Arabidopsis thaliana: one gene and its partner. The protein of the gene in region 2 interacts with the protein of the main gene of each other region in a pairwise test. Each region holds a gene or a part of one and is shown on either strand. Other genes may lie near its edges.

What was found.
Region 1: the proteins of AT2G41120 (region 2) and ETR2 interact in a two-hybrid assay, tested with the Arabidopsis thaliana proteins (one study listed by BioGRID).

Annotation. Positions count from the first base shown.
Region 1 is NC_003074.8:8,252,246-8,260,144, reverse strand, and holds ETR2 (Signal transduction histidine kinase, hybrid-type, ethylene sensor), read right to left. Parts: upstream 5,587-7,899; 5' UTR 5,121-5,586; intron 5,024-5,120; 5' UTR 4,990-5,023; coding exon 3,223-4,989; coding exon of another isoform or gene 3,175-3,222; exon of another isoform or gene 3,140-3,174; coding exon 2,585-3,139; 3' UTR 2,257-2,584; downstream 1-2,256. Other genes in the region: AT3G23160 (plant/protein (DUF668)), read left to right, coding at 1-86; AT3G23145 (ATP binding / aminoacyl-tRNA ligase/ nucleotide binding protein), read right to left, coding at 6,949-7,013, 7,129-7,192, 7,319-7,504, 7,688-7,786. UniProt on the Arabidopsis thaliana protein: Ethylene receptor related to bacterial two-component regulators. Acts as a redundant negative regulator of ethylene signaling.
Region 2 is NC_003071.7:17,140,775-17,148,112, forward strand, and holds AT2G41120 (DUF309 domain protein), read right to left. Parts: upstream 1,712-7,338; 5' UTR 1,646-1,711; coding exon 1,256-1,645; intron 1,170-1,255; coding exon 1,022-1,169; intron 928-1,021; coding exon 680-927; 3' UTR 501-679; downstream 1-500. Other genes in the region: CAM2 (calmodulin 2), read left to right, coding at 45-418; AT2G41130 (basic helix-loop-helix (bHLH) DNA-binding superfamily protein), read left to right, coding at 2,586-2,879, 3,445-3,912.

The DNA.
Region 1 (7,899 bases), on a different chromosome or scaffold from region 2:
ACGCGTTGTTGGATTGCGCGAGTAGCTTTGATTATGAAGATTGTTTTGAGTGGCAGAGCCAATGCCGTGCAGCTTACTTGGACTAACAATTGGTTTTTTTTTCTTTCTTTCTTCTTCTTAGTGTTGTTCTATAGATACATTTGTTTATGATTCAACACATTGTGAATACTAAATATCTAGTTTTGTTTGCATACATAAAAAATGATTGTGAAAATTGAAGTTCTGTTGTAGATAACTCCAAATCTTAGTTAGACAATGTTAAGTGTGTATTGAAGAATATGAGTTTTTTTAAGTGTGTATTGAAGAATATGAGCTTTAACAATGATAACTCCAATCTTAGTTAGACAATGTTAGAGATGGTAACTCATAGTTAGGCAAAGTTAAGTGTGTGTATTGAAGAATATGAGCTTTTTTGAAAGACATATATTAAAGCCAACCCAACAAGAGAGAGAGATGTTAGGTGATGAATGCATTTAATCAGAGAGAGATTGAGTAGGGCAAAAAGTGCATTGATGTTTTTTGAACCAAGCTTGACATTTTTGTGGTTGAGATTTTCTTTTTTTGTGTGTCAACGATGAGAATTTCATTTATTGTTGCTATTGATTGTTGTGTGTAAGAATGAAAAAGAAAGTTAATATATTGGGTCAAGGCTTTTGGGGTTTGGGCCTAACCTTATATTGACTAAGAACTAGATCAACCTTTGGCCCAAAGTTCTCTTTATATCAAATCAGTCGTTGGTAAAGGTCTCTGCATAGTCTTTGTATCTAGACTAAGCTCCAGAATTTCTAGCTAGATCTTCCTATGTGTTTTGCTGAATATATAAATACATCAAATTGCTGAACTATTAATTCAAGAAAGTTTTGGTTTTATTAACTTTATAACTCGTATTCATATTCCTATTTCTCTAGTGGAAATTAACTTAGAAAATTAGGAAAATTGAACAAGGGCCTCCTAGTAAACTAGAAGACAACAGTAGTTGATATACTTCAATTCCTTTGACTAACATATAATGTTAAGACAAAGCTAATTTATCTTTTGTGAATGACGTGATCACAAGCAAACAAGAAGTTTGGATCGAATTGACTATATTTTGGATAATATGAGTAGAATTCTCTATCTACGTTTGTGTTCTTGTTTTTTTTTTTCTTTCTTCTAGACCTAAAAAAGAGATATGAATTTCTTTCTGTTTTAGCCAAAAATAGAGGGAAAGCAAAACTTCTATGTTATGTGTTCACATATTATACTTTTTTTTTTCTTGGGTATAAACAAAAAGGAGGTATGATTAAGATTAACACATGCATCGGTCCCTTTTGTATATTGTTCGACTTTGGAATGAATAATACATCGAACATCTTCTATTTATGAGTTGATGGTGATAAGGTATTTCAAGACTTTGCAAATCATTTTGTCAGCTATATTGACTAGGAACGACCCCTTTGGTCTTGATCTTGTGGCTCAAGCCATTATCATTTCGGCTTCATAATAGCAATTATTTTTGATCAACTTAAATAAGCCTATATATTTTCTGAATAATTGTTTTTCGAAATTAGTTACTTATGAAAAATAACTAACAATAATAACTTCCTAGTACCACAAATTTCCTAAGATTCTTAATTTATACACAAAAGAAAATTTTAGACGCGATTTAGACTAGCACATCAGTTATTTACATAATTTTACTTATGATGTAATGTAACAAATCAATCTTTTTTCTTCTTCTTTATTTCTCTAAACTGTTTTACTCGCAATAACTGTAGGCAGCCGGGGGAAATATTTGGATTCTTGAAAGTGTAAAGTGAAGAGTGGTTATCTATTTGGACATGATTGTTTTCACTGTAGTTATCAAATAATTAGTACTTTAACTAATAATTAAGACTAATCTGTCAAAGATTGTCGGGTTCGAAGAAACAAATGTATAAGCACAAGTGGGTTTGAATATATAATTGCAAGTTACGTAAACCCATCTCTTCCCTAGATTCACTTTCTGCAAATCCAATCCATTTCTACTTTATTTTATGCAGTTCTTTTAGTTTAATAGGCTCGAGGAATGTGCAGTTTTGTTTAATGTAATCTTCTCTAGTCCAGGGGGCATGAATCTAACAAATAATTACTATATTTTGATTTTTACTGGTAACAACTAATAAAGTCACACATTTTTTTCAATGATTCTTTTGTTTGAAAAGTTTATTACAAAAGTGGCAGACGACATTATCTACAACTTTTCATGTTCCAGGATAATTTAAGAGAGCTCTAATACCTACTAGAGAATTAACTTGATGTAGAGTAGTAACGAAGAAAATTTATCTTCAAAACTCTATAATGCCATATTCAGTTTCGTAAGTTCGTAACATAAAGAAAACAAAAAACTACGAAACTGACTCCTTCTTGACCCTACGAAATACTAAGATTCAATGCAATTTCGTGGGGTTCAAAATGAGAAAAAGAACAAAAAAAAACAGGATGTACAAATCATAGAGATATGGGTGGTATATATAATAACAATTTCGAAATTTCATTTTGATATATTTGACATAAATCTATGGTGTAAAAATTTTGAATGTAGAAGAGAAGTTGAGATAACAACTTAGAGAAGTTGGTCAGCTTGCAACAATACTCTTCGGAGCTCACTCTCCATAGCTCTTAACACCACTGGCTTTCTCACAACTCCATTGATTCCAATCTGTGCACACTTGTCCCACATTTCTTCATCCAAGCTCACTGTCGTCGCCACAATCAACGGCCAAGATCGACTCCTGATCCTCATGGCCACTTCATAACCGTCCATCTCTGCCATTTGAAGATCAAGCACCACCACTTGAAACGAAGTAGAAGGCGAGGACGAGCCGGGAGCAATGGCGGTAAGGCAATCGAATCCAGAGGAAACCGCGGTTACATCGCACCCGAGTTTCTCTAAGAGTTTACGTGTAACTGCCCGGTTCGAATCGTTGGTGTCTACCAATAAAACTTGTAAGCCACGTAACAGAGAATTCGAATGTGGGTGAGCGTGGTGGTCAGGAGCTGGCGACTCGCTGGATCCATGGACAGATATGGAGGGTCTACGTCGAAACCGAAGGAGCAACGACATGGTCTCCGGTGAACCATCCGAGCCAGGGACCACCGAGATATTCCCATGAATCAACTGCACACATTATCAAAGAACTCCTAAACAGAAACTCAGACTAATGACAGGAACTTTAGAAAGAGATATGTAAGGAAACTCACCTGCACCACTTTCTTACAAACACCAAAGCTTAGATCTTGTCCTAACCCATAGCCGCCGGAGAATCTAACATCACCAACTTCTTGATCTCTGGAGGAAACAGAAGCAAATGATTGAGAACTTGAATCATCATTCTCTACATTCATTTCAAATCTTATATACACATCTCCATCTGCTGAAGAAGCCGGTGATCTCCAAGCAGCCCATCTATGATCACTCCTATCCAAGCTTCCTCTTTCTTTCAAAACCTTAAACATCAATGAAGATCCTTCTTGACGTTTTCTAGGCTTTACTAAACTACCAACTATATGAAGTATCACTTGAAAGACCCTTCTTTCATCACCTACTACATTATCAGGTAGAGACTTCTCCGCGTCAACCAAGAACCTAATTCCATTGCATAGACACAAACATCTCGCCATACAAGCTGCTTCATGGATCGTACGATGCAGACTAAATGGTTTCATCTCCGTACCAAATCTACCGTCAGGCACATCCATAGAGTCCCCCACCAAATTCGACATAACATTCCCTGTTTTAACCATCGTATCAACAATCATTTTCTGCTCGTCACTCAACTTCTCGTCCTGAATCATCGACAAAAGACCGAGTATCGAATGCATAGGACGCCTCATCCCTTCGCTCATCGTTTTCTGAAACGCATTCCTCGCTTGGCTCGCTCTCAACGCGTCTCTCTTCGCCATCTGCAACGCCCTGTTCTGTTCCGCCAGCTTCTCCCTCATAAGCTGAGACTCTTCAAGAACCGCTGCATGATCTAACGCAACGGTTACTTGATCCGCCACAACTTTAACAATCTCAATCTCCTGATAAGTCCAATCCCGAGGCGTCCCGCCCGGTAAAACACAAACAAGTATCGCATAACTTAGCTCTCCATTAAAATCCGAAACACGAAGCATCGGCATTCTAATAGCAGCCACGGCACCAATCTCACTAACATCCCCACCACCACCACTAGCTCGAGCAATGGACGAGTCAACACTCAACACATTCACTTCATCACTCTCCCTAATCCTAACAACATCCAAATCCTCCATAGAAACAGAACAACCACCATAACCACCTCTCCCTCTCAACTCATGAGTCAAATCCATCTCCGTTCCACCGTCATTCGGCATCCAAACCGCACAATTCTGCAACCCTAAAGTCTTCGAAAGCTCAACCAAAGTAGTATAAAGAATCGTATGACGATCCAAAGACTTACGAATCTCTTGAGTAAGCATACGAACATGAAAGCCAGTCTCTTTCTTAATCAAAATCAAACCAACTTCACGACCAAGCTCATGAGCTTTCTTCTTAAGCATAAACTCTCTAACTTTAACTTTCAAAAGCAGAGGAATCAAAGTAATAAGCGTAATCGCAGTAGCACAAGAGACTAAAGCAGTCAACATCTTGAAAACAGTAAACGCCATCATTAATCTAAATGGATGAGCAGAGTAAGTCCAACCATGAAGAAGATGAGTCATACCACAAAGAACAATGAAGGCGATAAACTCAAAGAGAACCCATTTGAATGGAACATTGGAACAACTCACGAAGTAAAGTAACTCAATAGGGATTGAGAAATAAGCTACTGCGATTAAGAAATCGCTTACTCTTTGAGTTTCTAGAATGTTCTCTGTACTCCAGAAACTGTTTCCTTCGTCTTCGCAGTTACATCGTGGATAACCACCGCCGTTTATAGCTAAAACCGGAGAAACAAACACCACCATTGATAGTATCAATAACCAAGAAGCTATTTCTTTAACCATCTTCGGAGAAAAAAAATGCTTAGTCCATTATACTCTGCAATTAGAAAAACAAGAAACAGAGTGAGAAATAAAAATCAAAACTTTAATTTGGGTAATAGTAGAAAGAACAGAGAAAGAAAAATTTGGAATACCTGAAAGAGATGAGTTTGGATCAAAATGAAACAGTTCTCAGATCTCTCATCGACCTGTGAAATTCCAACGAAGTGATGTACGAGAATCTTCTAATTCTCTTCGACATTCCGATCTTCCTCTCATAGAAGAACAACGATGACGAGAATAAAAATACACAAAGAGAAAGACAGAGACAGAACAAAAAAAGCTGGTGATGACAAAACCAGAAGACTTAAAAGTGAAGAGATAGAGACAAATCTGAAACTACTTTGAAGTTATATAAAAAAACGTGAAGTACGTTTATTTATATATGCCGGAGATGATTAGTGCCGGAAAACCGCCATAAGCCGCCGATGGAGGATAAAAAGAGAAGTGTATGTATAGGGTGTAAGTAAAGGTAGGAGCCGTTGGTTTTAGAGGAAGGTTTTGAGATTTTTTCTTCTTCTTTATTCTCTGATTTAGAAACTTAAAGAGGTCCCACTTGTTCTTACATGAACCGAACTTAGACGGTCTTTTGAATTTTTTCTGAGTTGTGTTTTTTTTCTTACACTTAATAATTTTTTGGTCACTAATGTATTAATAAATCATTTAATATTGAAAACATTTGTTATTTCCTCAACTTGTACGTTTTATAAATTTAACTTATTACAAGCTGTAACATAGAATAATTAATGGGTACTCTGAATTTTATCAAAATCCCGTATATCATGAGACTGAAGAATAGAATAAAGCTTGTTTATTTGTATATGAATGAGTAAAATATTGGTATAATTGTTGGAAACTATCAAGCCACATGACATGAATCTAGGAACCTAAAAATTATTTTAATAAATGTGTTTTATTCCAAGAAAGTATAAAATTAAGACCAAGGAGGCAAATAGATCATATATTTCTTAAATTAGCTTTGTTTATAAACAAAAGAGCACAAAATCTAACGTAATCACTGTGTTTTGAACTGACACAAGTAGTCGGATATTTGATGAGATTAGTCTAATACTCTAATTAGATATTTTAATTAGTCAAATATTTACAAAAAGAAGATATGTATAACGCCTTAAGATGTTGATTAATATGAGGGACCTACAAAACTGTGATCTTTGATTTTATTATAATGTTTCCTTCACCATACATGAATCTAAAGAGTAATGAGTATATATTTGAAACCACATTGCTATTACTTTCCTAACTTTTAATTGTATGGTTTTGACTCTAGAAGAAACCATGTTAGACCACAGAATGTCAGAATCGCATGTGTTCTTTTATATTGAAGCTCTAATTAGTATCTACCAATCATCTTTGAAAAACATCATTGTTTAAAGCCTTTGTACATATTTATTTTATTTATTGATAGTACTATCTAAAGAAATTGAACCTAGAAGTTTTTAGACGACACGTTACCTAAGTTTTTTTTGTTGGTGTTTTTAGTGGTCACTGTAACAACAGAGAGTTTTAGCATCACTACCTATAACCATAATCTTGATGCTTCAAACGGAGTCATACAATTACAGAACAAAAAAAAATACATTGAAACTCTTGAGCATATTTTGTGAAGCTAGTTCGGATAATTTTGAATTTCCACAAGTAACAAAGTTTCTTGTTGTTTTTGTAATAAATCCCATCTTTATCTATAGAATGAGTACAAAGTCTCAAGAGACATTTAACTTTTTGCAACGATCTAGAAGAAAACACTTTAAAAGGCTCTCATGCGTTCTTCTTGCTTAACAATTAGTCACCGACTGTCAAATGCAAATGTTCTCCTAGAACCACAGTCATAACAGGGTGCTTTTCAATGCATGAGCACAATGAGAAGGAAACCCATATATCAAATATACAACTTATATATGACCATTAATCGCTTCGGTTACATTTATTTACCTCACGGGCAACACCTTCGTTTTTCAAAGATTCATCTTCTCGTAGATCAAGAATTACCATAACATCATATCTGAACCATGAACGAATGCAAATATTATATGTTTCCTCAACAATAGAGCATAGAGAAGTGGTATTTTTAATTAAGATATGTACTATCTACAGCTGCATCAATCTCTGTATCTTTCAAACCATCTGGACGTTTGAAATCTCTGACAATCTAAACAACACATGAACAAAATGTGTCATGAACATGGGTTCTTGAAGATACTGTAAACTTAAACAAGAAAGAAAATAAACTTAATGTTAAAGGTGGTGATATAAGGAAGATGTTGTCAAATCTAACCTTCTTAATTATCTCGTTCTCAAGACAAACACGATAGTCATCTGCACCAAAGACAGGAGCACAATGGACAATACCAGTACCACTATCATTCATGACATAATCATCTGCTACTAGTCGAAAAGTCACACTTGAGAAATCGCTAAAAGTAATCAAACAAAGGTTCATACTTCTTCCCAACCAAGGAATCTCCATTAAAATTTTCCAAAACTTGATAAGAATCCTCTTCACTGTCAAGCTTAATTAGCACCTTTCGCATTATGGTATCACTAGTAAGTTCCATTAGTTAAGCCGGCCTTAGGCTTATCACTAGGAAGCGATGACAACCGAGATTCAGCAACAATGTAGACTTTTCCAGTGTTGTTGACGAACCTTAAGATAGACAAACTTTGCATTGACACACAAAGCAAGATTACTTGGAAGAATCCATGGAGTAGTAGTCCATGCCACAAGAGCCGTATTATCTTGGATCTCCGATAACAGGGAATGTAACCATTACTAAATATGCAACACAATATGCAACAATAAATATGCAAAAAAAATATATATATTTAACACAAAAAAAAAAAAAAAAATGCAACAAC
Region 2 (7,338 bases):
GGATTTGCATCGTAGTAACACCAATCTTTGATTACTTTGTGTAGGTTGCATTACCACAAAGGAGCTTGGTACCGTGATGCGTTCCCTCGGTCAAAACCCAACCGAAGCTGAGCTTCAGGACATGATCAACGAAGTTGATGCGGATGGTAACGGAACCATTGATTTCCCGGAGTTCTTGAACCTAATGGCTAGGAAAATGAAGGACACTGACTCTGAGGAAGAACTCAAGGAAGCTTTCAGAGTTTTCGACAAAGACCAGAACGGTTTCATCTCAGCTGCTGAATTGAGACATGTGATGACTAACCTCGGCGAGAAGCTTACTGATGAAGAAGTTGATGAGATGATTAAGGAAGCTGATGTTGATGGTGATGGTCAGATCAACTACGAAGAGTTTGTGAAGGTTATGATGGCTAAGTGAGGATTGAAACAACTTCTTCGGCTTTCTCCTTTTTTTTTTTTGACTACCTTCTTATGTAATTTCATAAAGAATGTTCCTTCGCTTTGTTCTAAAATTTCATTCATGGCTGGTTTTTGCTGGTTAAAAAGACAGGAATGTTATGTGTTTTTACCTTTTGTCTAAATGACTCATTGTTCATGTTATTGACAGGTTCAGAACCTGATTCTTGAAATATAACAGTAATGAGATCTTCTTCTATTATCTTCGTATTGATCATTCTCTTTAGAATCTGTCGTCGTATGTAGAAGCAAGAAGATGCTTATCGGTTGCGGTAAGGGTAGGGAGCTTAACCCGAGTTGGCTCAGACGATGAATGTAAAGGAGAGAAGAGTATAGAAGTTGTCTCAGACATTCCATTGTTGAAGTCAAGCACAGTCTCTAAGCTGTAAATACTCTCTCCAGCTGCATAACCACCTAAGAGTTGATACGATCTGTCTGATTGATCCATCGTCAAACACATATCTTCTGAACCTATCATCAATCAATTCAGATTTCTTGAGTGTCACAATTAGGTTCAATTTGCTAAATGGTTTCCTCAATCAAAAATTCAAAATTCAAAACTTACAGGCAGCAAGTTCAAGCTGAGTTTGATAAACGAATTCAAGAACTGCGGAGACATCTCGCTCGAATTCATGAAACGGTCCGTCTTCGAAATTCATCTTCCTTAGCTTACATACTCCTTCTCCTAACTCCATCATCGCTCCTTTATGGTTCTTCAAATCCCAAAACACTCACTAAAATTACCTCAAACGTGAACGAAAACGAGCAATAGATGGAGTTAAAAGGAGAGTAGATTTACGTTGTTGAATAGATGGTGAAATCCAACAGCACATTGAAGAATTCCATGGATTAAGGTACGAGTTGGTTCCTCTGCTTGAATCCAAAGAGCTTCAAGCGCGTCATGACTTTTGTAATAATCCCTCTTGTTGAAGAGAGTCACTGCTTCCTCAAAGCTCCAATATTCTTCCTTATCCTCGTCACTATCCTCTTCGTCTTCTCCGGCGTGGTCGTTGTATCTGACGATTGATCTTCGACTGAAACGGACGCGTATGGAGCTAAATTTTGTGGAGGCTCGAATCGTTGAAGCAGTAACAGAGATTGGAGAAGAAGGGATTAAGGAGCTGAAGAAAGAAGATGGAGGAAGCGTGAAAGATGAAGGAACCTGGAAATGTTTCGAAGAAACTGCCATTATCAAAGTCAAAGGTCGAGCTCTGTCTCTACTGCATGGTTCTGGCTTGCGCCAGTTTTGTGGTCACCGTTTTACCAAAACTTTGTAATTGGGCCACTATTTGGGTCCTTATTTTTTATATAATTTAGGCCCATATTTTATGGCGAAGCCTTCCTCATATCATATGGTTGTCTCATTCGTAAATTATTTTTCTGCAGTAGCTTTCTCTTATGATTATCAAATTTGTTGATTATTTAGGGCTTTTATGTTGTCAAAAAAAAAAAATTAGGGCTTTTGAATACTCAAGTTTTTCCAGACATTAAGTTAAAACAAATACTGTATATTATTTAATTTTTGTTAAATAACAAATTTATGTTATCGCATTGCACTGTGTGAGATTTATCCGGACAAAACACAATGATAGAAGCAGCATAAATCATATCAGGATATGCCTTTTATTGTTTATCTTTAATACCTTAGAAATGGTATCTTATCATAATAACTTAAAGGATCATTATTATGGTAGTGGTAAAACATCATTATTATTCATAAGTAAAGATTTAAAGAATGTTCAATTTTTTGAGATTTGTTTTTGAATTTTTGAATTTTGGAAATGCAGTAATATACTATATAGTCCCAAAAGTCCGTATGTATCTTCAGTTCAATTGATGGATCATATAGAACTATTTAGAATGATGATGGTGGCAAGACAATGACCTAATTAAGGACCCTTCCTAAAAATTTCAAACTCTATAGCAACTTTTTCCCCACCAATATATATATAAATACAAAAATCAAGTATTTAACATCTAAAATAAAAAAAATAAAAAAAATAATCTACACTCTCTACCCTCTCATTTCACGTATATATAATCCATCTTTTAGGACAGAACCCACCGAAAGCTCCACAAACCCCATTAATTAACAAAAAACCAAAAGAAGGCGGCGCAAACAAAAGATAATGCAACCAGAGACCTCAGATCAGATGTTGTACTCGTTTCTTGCCGGAAACGAAGTCGGCGGTGGAGGGTACTGCGTCTCCGGCGACTACATGACGACTATGCAGAGCTTATGTGGGTCTTCGTCGTCGACGTCATCGTATTACCCACTGGCGATCTCCGGCATCGGAGAAACGATGGCTCAAGACAGAGCTTTAGCTGCTTTGAGGAACCACAAAGAAGCTGAGAGAAGAAGGAGAGAGAGGATCAATTCTCATCTCAACAAGCTTCGTAACGTACTCTCTTGTAATTCTAAGGTAATATAAACTTTTGATACTTTTTCATTTGGCGTATGTATCTCTCCTCGTACATATGATGTTTATACATCTGTACGTATATATTTCTTTGAAATTTTAAGAAAAGATTTTTGAAATGGGTATATAATTAGGGTTTTGCATCTTCTCTAACCCAGAGTTTACATCTTTAAAATTTTCTCATGTTTCATTCGATTTGGTGTTAGCTCATGAATACTGTACTTTTTCATGATAACATTTTATAATCATTTGGTTTCAATTGAGTCTTTTTTGTCTTACTATTCTTACTTATTAACAAGCACATATTTATCAAAGATGATCCCTAATTTTCTACATTTATAATTCTAAAGATTGATATATATTTTGATTTGAATATTCAAAACTGGCGAGTAGTGATCAGATGAGAAAAACGAAAAGCTTCATGGCCTTTTTGTGAAGCTCGTTGGGATAGTATATCACTTTTTGGGAAAGTTCTCAAGCTTTTTCAGTTGATTTGATTTGATACAAACATCAAATTTCAACTTCTTGATCCAAACTTTTCATTGTAATTTCATGTTTCTATTTTCAGACCGATAAAGCCACACTGCTCGCCAAAGTAGTTCAACGAGTCAGAGAACTTAAACAGCAAACCCTAGAGACCTCCGACTCCGACCAAACATTATTACCATCAGAGACCGACGAAATTAGTGTTCTACACTTTGGAGACTATTCAAACGACGGTCATATAATCTTCAAAGCCTCTCTATGTTGTGAAGATAGATCAGATCTCTTGCCGGACCTTATGGAGATTCTCAAGTCTCTTAACATGAAGACTCTCCGAGCTGAGATGGTAACCATTGGTGGTCGGACAAGAAGTGTTCTTGTCGTAGCTGCTGACAAAGAGATGCACGGCGTCGAGTCTGTGCATTTTTTGCAAAATGCTCTCAAGTCGCTGCTTGAGCGGTCAAGCAAGTCGTTGATGGAACGTAGTTCTGGTGGTGGAGGAGGAGAACGGTCAAAGCGGCGTCGTGCGCTGGATCACATCATAATGGTGTGAAATGATGAGAATTGAGCACACTAAAAAGTCTATAATTGATTAATATATATAGGGTATGATCATAATTAACTTGGTTATAATTACCAAAACCTTTTTTATTCCTCTTTAATAATATATATGTTATATGGTTTTAGTTACTAAGTCTTGGGAGTGTAAGCAAATGTTGTAAGTAGGTTTGGTGTGTTCTTTTTCTTTTCTTTTTTTTTTCTTTTTCAAGAAAAAGAAAAAGATCTATATTATATATAAAGAATATTTGTCATGTTATTTTCCTCTATTTATATATATCTTTTTGGTTGTTGGTGTGATGACTAGGGTTTTGAGATTGTGGGAATATTTGTCGACGTAGAAGAATCTAAGTAACAGATGTGATTGGTGAAGTCCAAAAGAAACTAGGGTACTTCGATTTACATATACACACTATACATGTGAATATATATGTATATATAGTGAAGAGAAGGTCTATGTTTGTATGCTGTGAGTTTCAAAGCGACCCTTATGTCACCTTTGTCCCCAAATGAATCCAAACTCTCCTATCTCTTTCTTTGTTCATGTCTTTCTAAATGTGTACATTTGACCACATTTTTCAGACCAAAGAATATAAGCAGTGCCTGGTTTTCTTTCTTTCTTATATATTCGTATATATCCATGTGATTATGACGAACTGTTTTACTTTTAGTTGAGATTAATTAAGTGTTAGCGAAATGTCTAGTCTACTGTTTTTGTTGATCATATGGAAAAGACGTGCATTTATGCATGACACAAAAATGCTTAAACGTATATTCGAAAAAGTAACACTTTATATACGTTGTATATTTAGGACGCCAAATTTCATATTATGTACGGCTACATGTACAATGAAAGTGTGATGAGACTTGAGAGGATTAACCAAAAATACTGAAAACTTACTTTAATTTACTTTCTTTTAGTTTATTTTACTAATCGAATTTTGGCTCTAAAGTTTCGTGTGAATAAGAAGAATATGTTAGAATGTATAATGATGTGTATCCGTATCTAGTGAGGTTTGTACATATCTGTTATATTTATAATGAAAGTGTTTTGAAATATTGTAGAGATACTATGTTTGCTATGTATCTCTATTCTGGTTTCTTCAATAGGTATCCGTTTTGTTTATAGAAAATGGCTCACCAACTTGCCTCTATGGGAGGCTGGGGATATATGAACCAAATGACTCAATAATATAGCCAATTAGACCATTAGTAAATTGGAATATATATGAAGAAGAAGGTGAATGTGGGATTAAAGGAAGAGGAAGCGTGAGAAAAGGAGACTGACAAAAGGAAATAAAATTGATGGGCCATTGGCTCTATGAGACAAAAAGGACCGACTCTTCTCATCACTCTCCCTTTTCCCTTTCTCTCTTTTTTAATAATTGTTTTCTATAAACTATAATTTTATGGCGAATTTAATAAAATAATATTGAAGAAAACTAAGAGAAGAAGAAGAAGGAAAAAAAAAGGTGGAGAAAGTTTGTCCATGGAGCGTGATGGTTTTGGGGCAGCTGGTGTCCCCTCTATACTCAACCTCTCGACCAAAAAGTATATCTTATAGAAATATTTTTAGCTTTTGCACTATATATTATTGTTAAAGTTATATTTGTATTCAACTCAAAAGAAACTATAGAAAAACTTCTAATTTTTTTAAAAATTCCTTCTGAAGTTTATGGGTAGTGTGGCAAAAGCAATCATTAACCTCACACGTTAGTGTTCCATCGTGTGAACATGTGAGTGCCCTTTCTTATCTCACCACACAATTTTGACCATCCTATTTCCTTTTTGAATATCACTATTTTTTCTTTGTGTTTACTTTGTTTTATCTACATTTCACAAACAAGCAAATAGAAGTTATCATATTATATGTCAAATATGTGTTTGTTTTCATGTGTTCTTATTGTCTTTCTTGGTCAAGTGTTCTTGTTTACCTACACAGACAAATGTGGGAACCTTTTCACTTACTTCGGGGTTTTACCGGAAAGTTAGAAAACCTTACTAAATTATTGCTTTGCTATTAACAAAGATATCTTACTCATTCTTTAAACCAGTGTTTCATTTTGTCCATTGTCAGAACTTATATTCATTTTAACGTTTTAATTGATCTATCGTAGTAGTGAACCATCTCTAAAATAAAAATTCAATACTAATTGAAAATCTAAAACCAATAGATATTAAGAAATCATTTGTTAAATTAACTTACATCTATACATCTATATATGCGACTACTGTCTAGTTTATCTGGAATCCACAATATGTTTTTTGTTTCTCCAAAAACTTTTTGATAACTTTAAAAATCTAGTAAATGCAACATTTTCTAACCTTTTAAAGTATATTTGAGGGTTAAACCGAGAATTAAGACTTACAAGTCTTGGGATAATCACTCTATAAGAAACACTTTATTGTGGTTTGGTTCACTTTTAAACCTTACTAGATATTTTCTAAAAGTTAGTATACATAAAAGTTTACAAATTGTATCTATCTATAAAAAAAATTATTTTATAGTTTACAATTGTTATTAAGTAACGTCTTGCCAAACCCGTCCCGCCAACCCGTCCCGTAAAAAACTATTTATTTTATTAATATTGATCTTATTTATGATATGTTTATGAATTATTGTCTAAATATTTTGTAATTTTGTAGTAATTAAATGCTATCAAATATCTCTGCGGTTTGATGATTATAATCGAATTATTATAGTCATGGAGAAAAGCAATATCAAAAATAATAATTTTGTAATAATTAAATGATATTAAATATTTTGCAAGTTTTATTTTAGTAACTAATCGTGTAGTTAATGTTGAGAGATTTAGGGAAGATTGTTAAATGTCAAATATTTAATTATTCAAAGATTTTTTTTTCTAATTATCAAAAACAAACATTAAAATCTAGTGGCAGTTATTGTAAATAATTCCCAACTATAGGATTTATTTCACAAAATGGCTGCTATATAGATTTTTTAGATAAAACCGATCAAACTCTTTTTCTTTTCAATTATTAAACTCTTTGATGGGTTAAGAAACATAAAAACAAAAAGGAAAACAGAGGAGAAGAATCGAGGATCCAAAAGCCCATCTAAGGTGAGAGAAGAGGGGTCCAAACTGAGATTGGAACAAAATCGGTTTTAGGGTTTCAGAAAGGCCCAAATTAGATTCGAGTAGAGCAGTCCCACAGTGACTCCGACATGACAACACTTGAGTTACACAAGACCACCACGTCTCTATACTCTAAGTCTATGCCGTACGTCAAAGGCACCAACTCTTTCATCACATATATTATTAATCAATTTATACAAAACTCCAAATAATTCACGGGACCAATACTGAATCGAAACTAAACGAATTTGTTAAAATCGGACTTTGTAGATGCAACCGAAACAGAGTAAGTACATGAAAATACGTACAACTGCATGTGATTT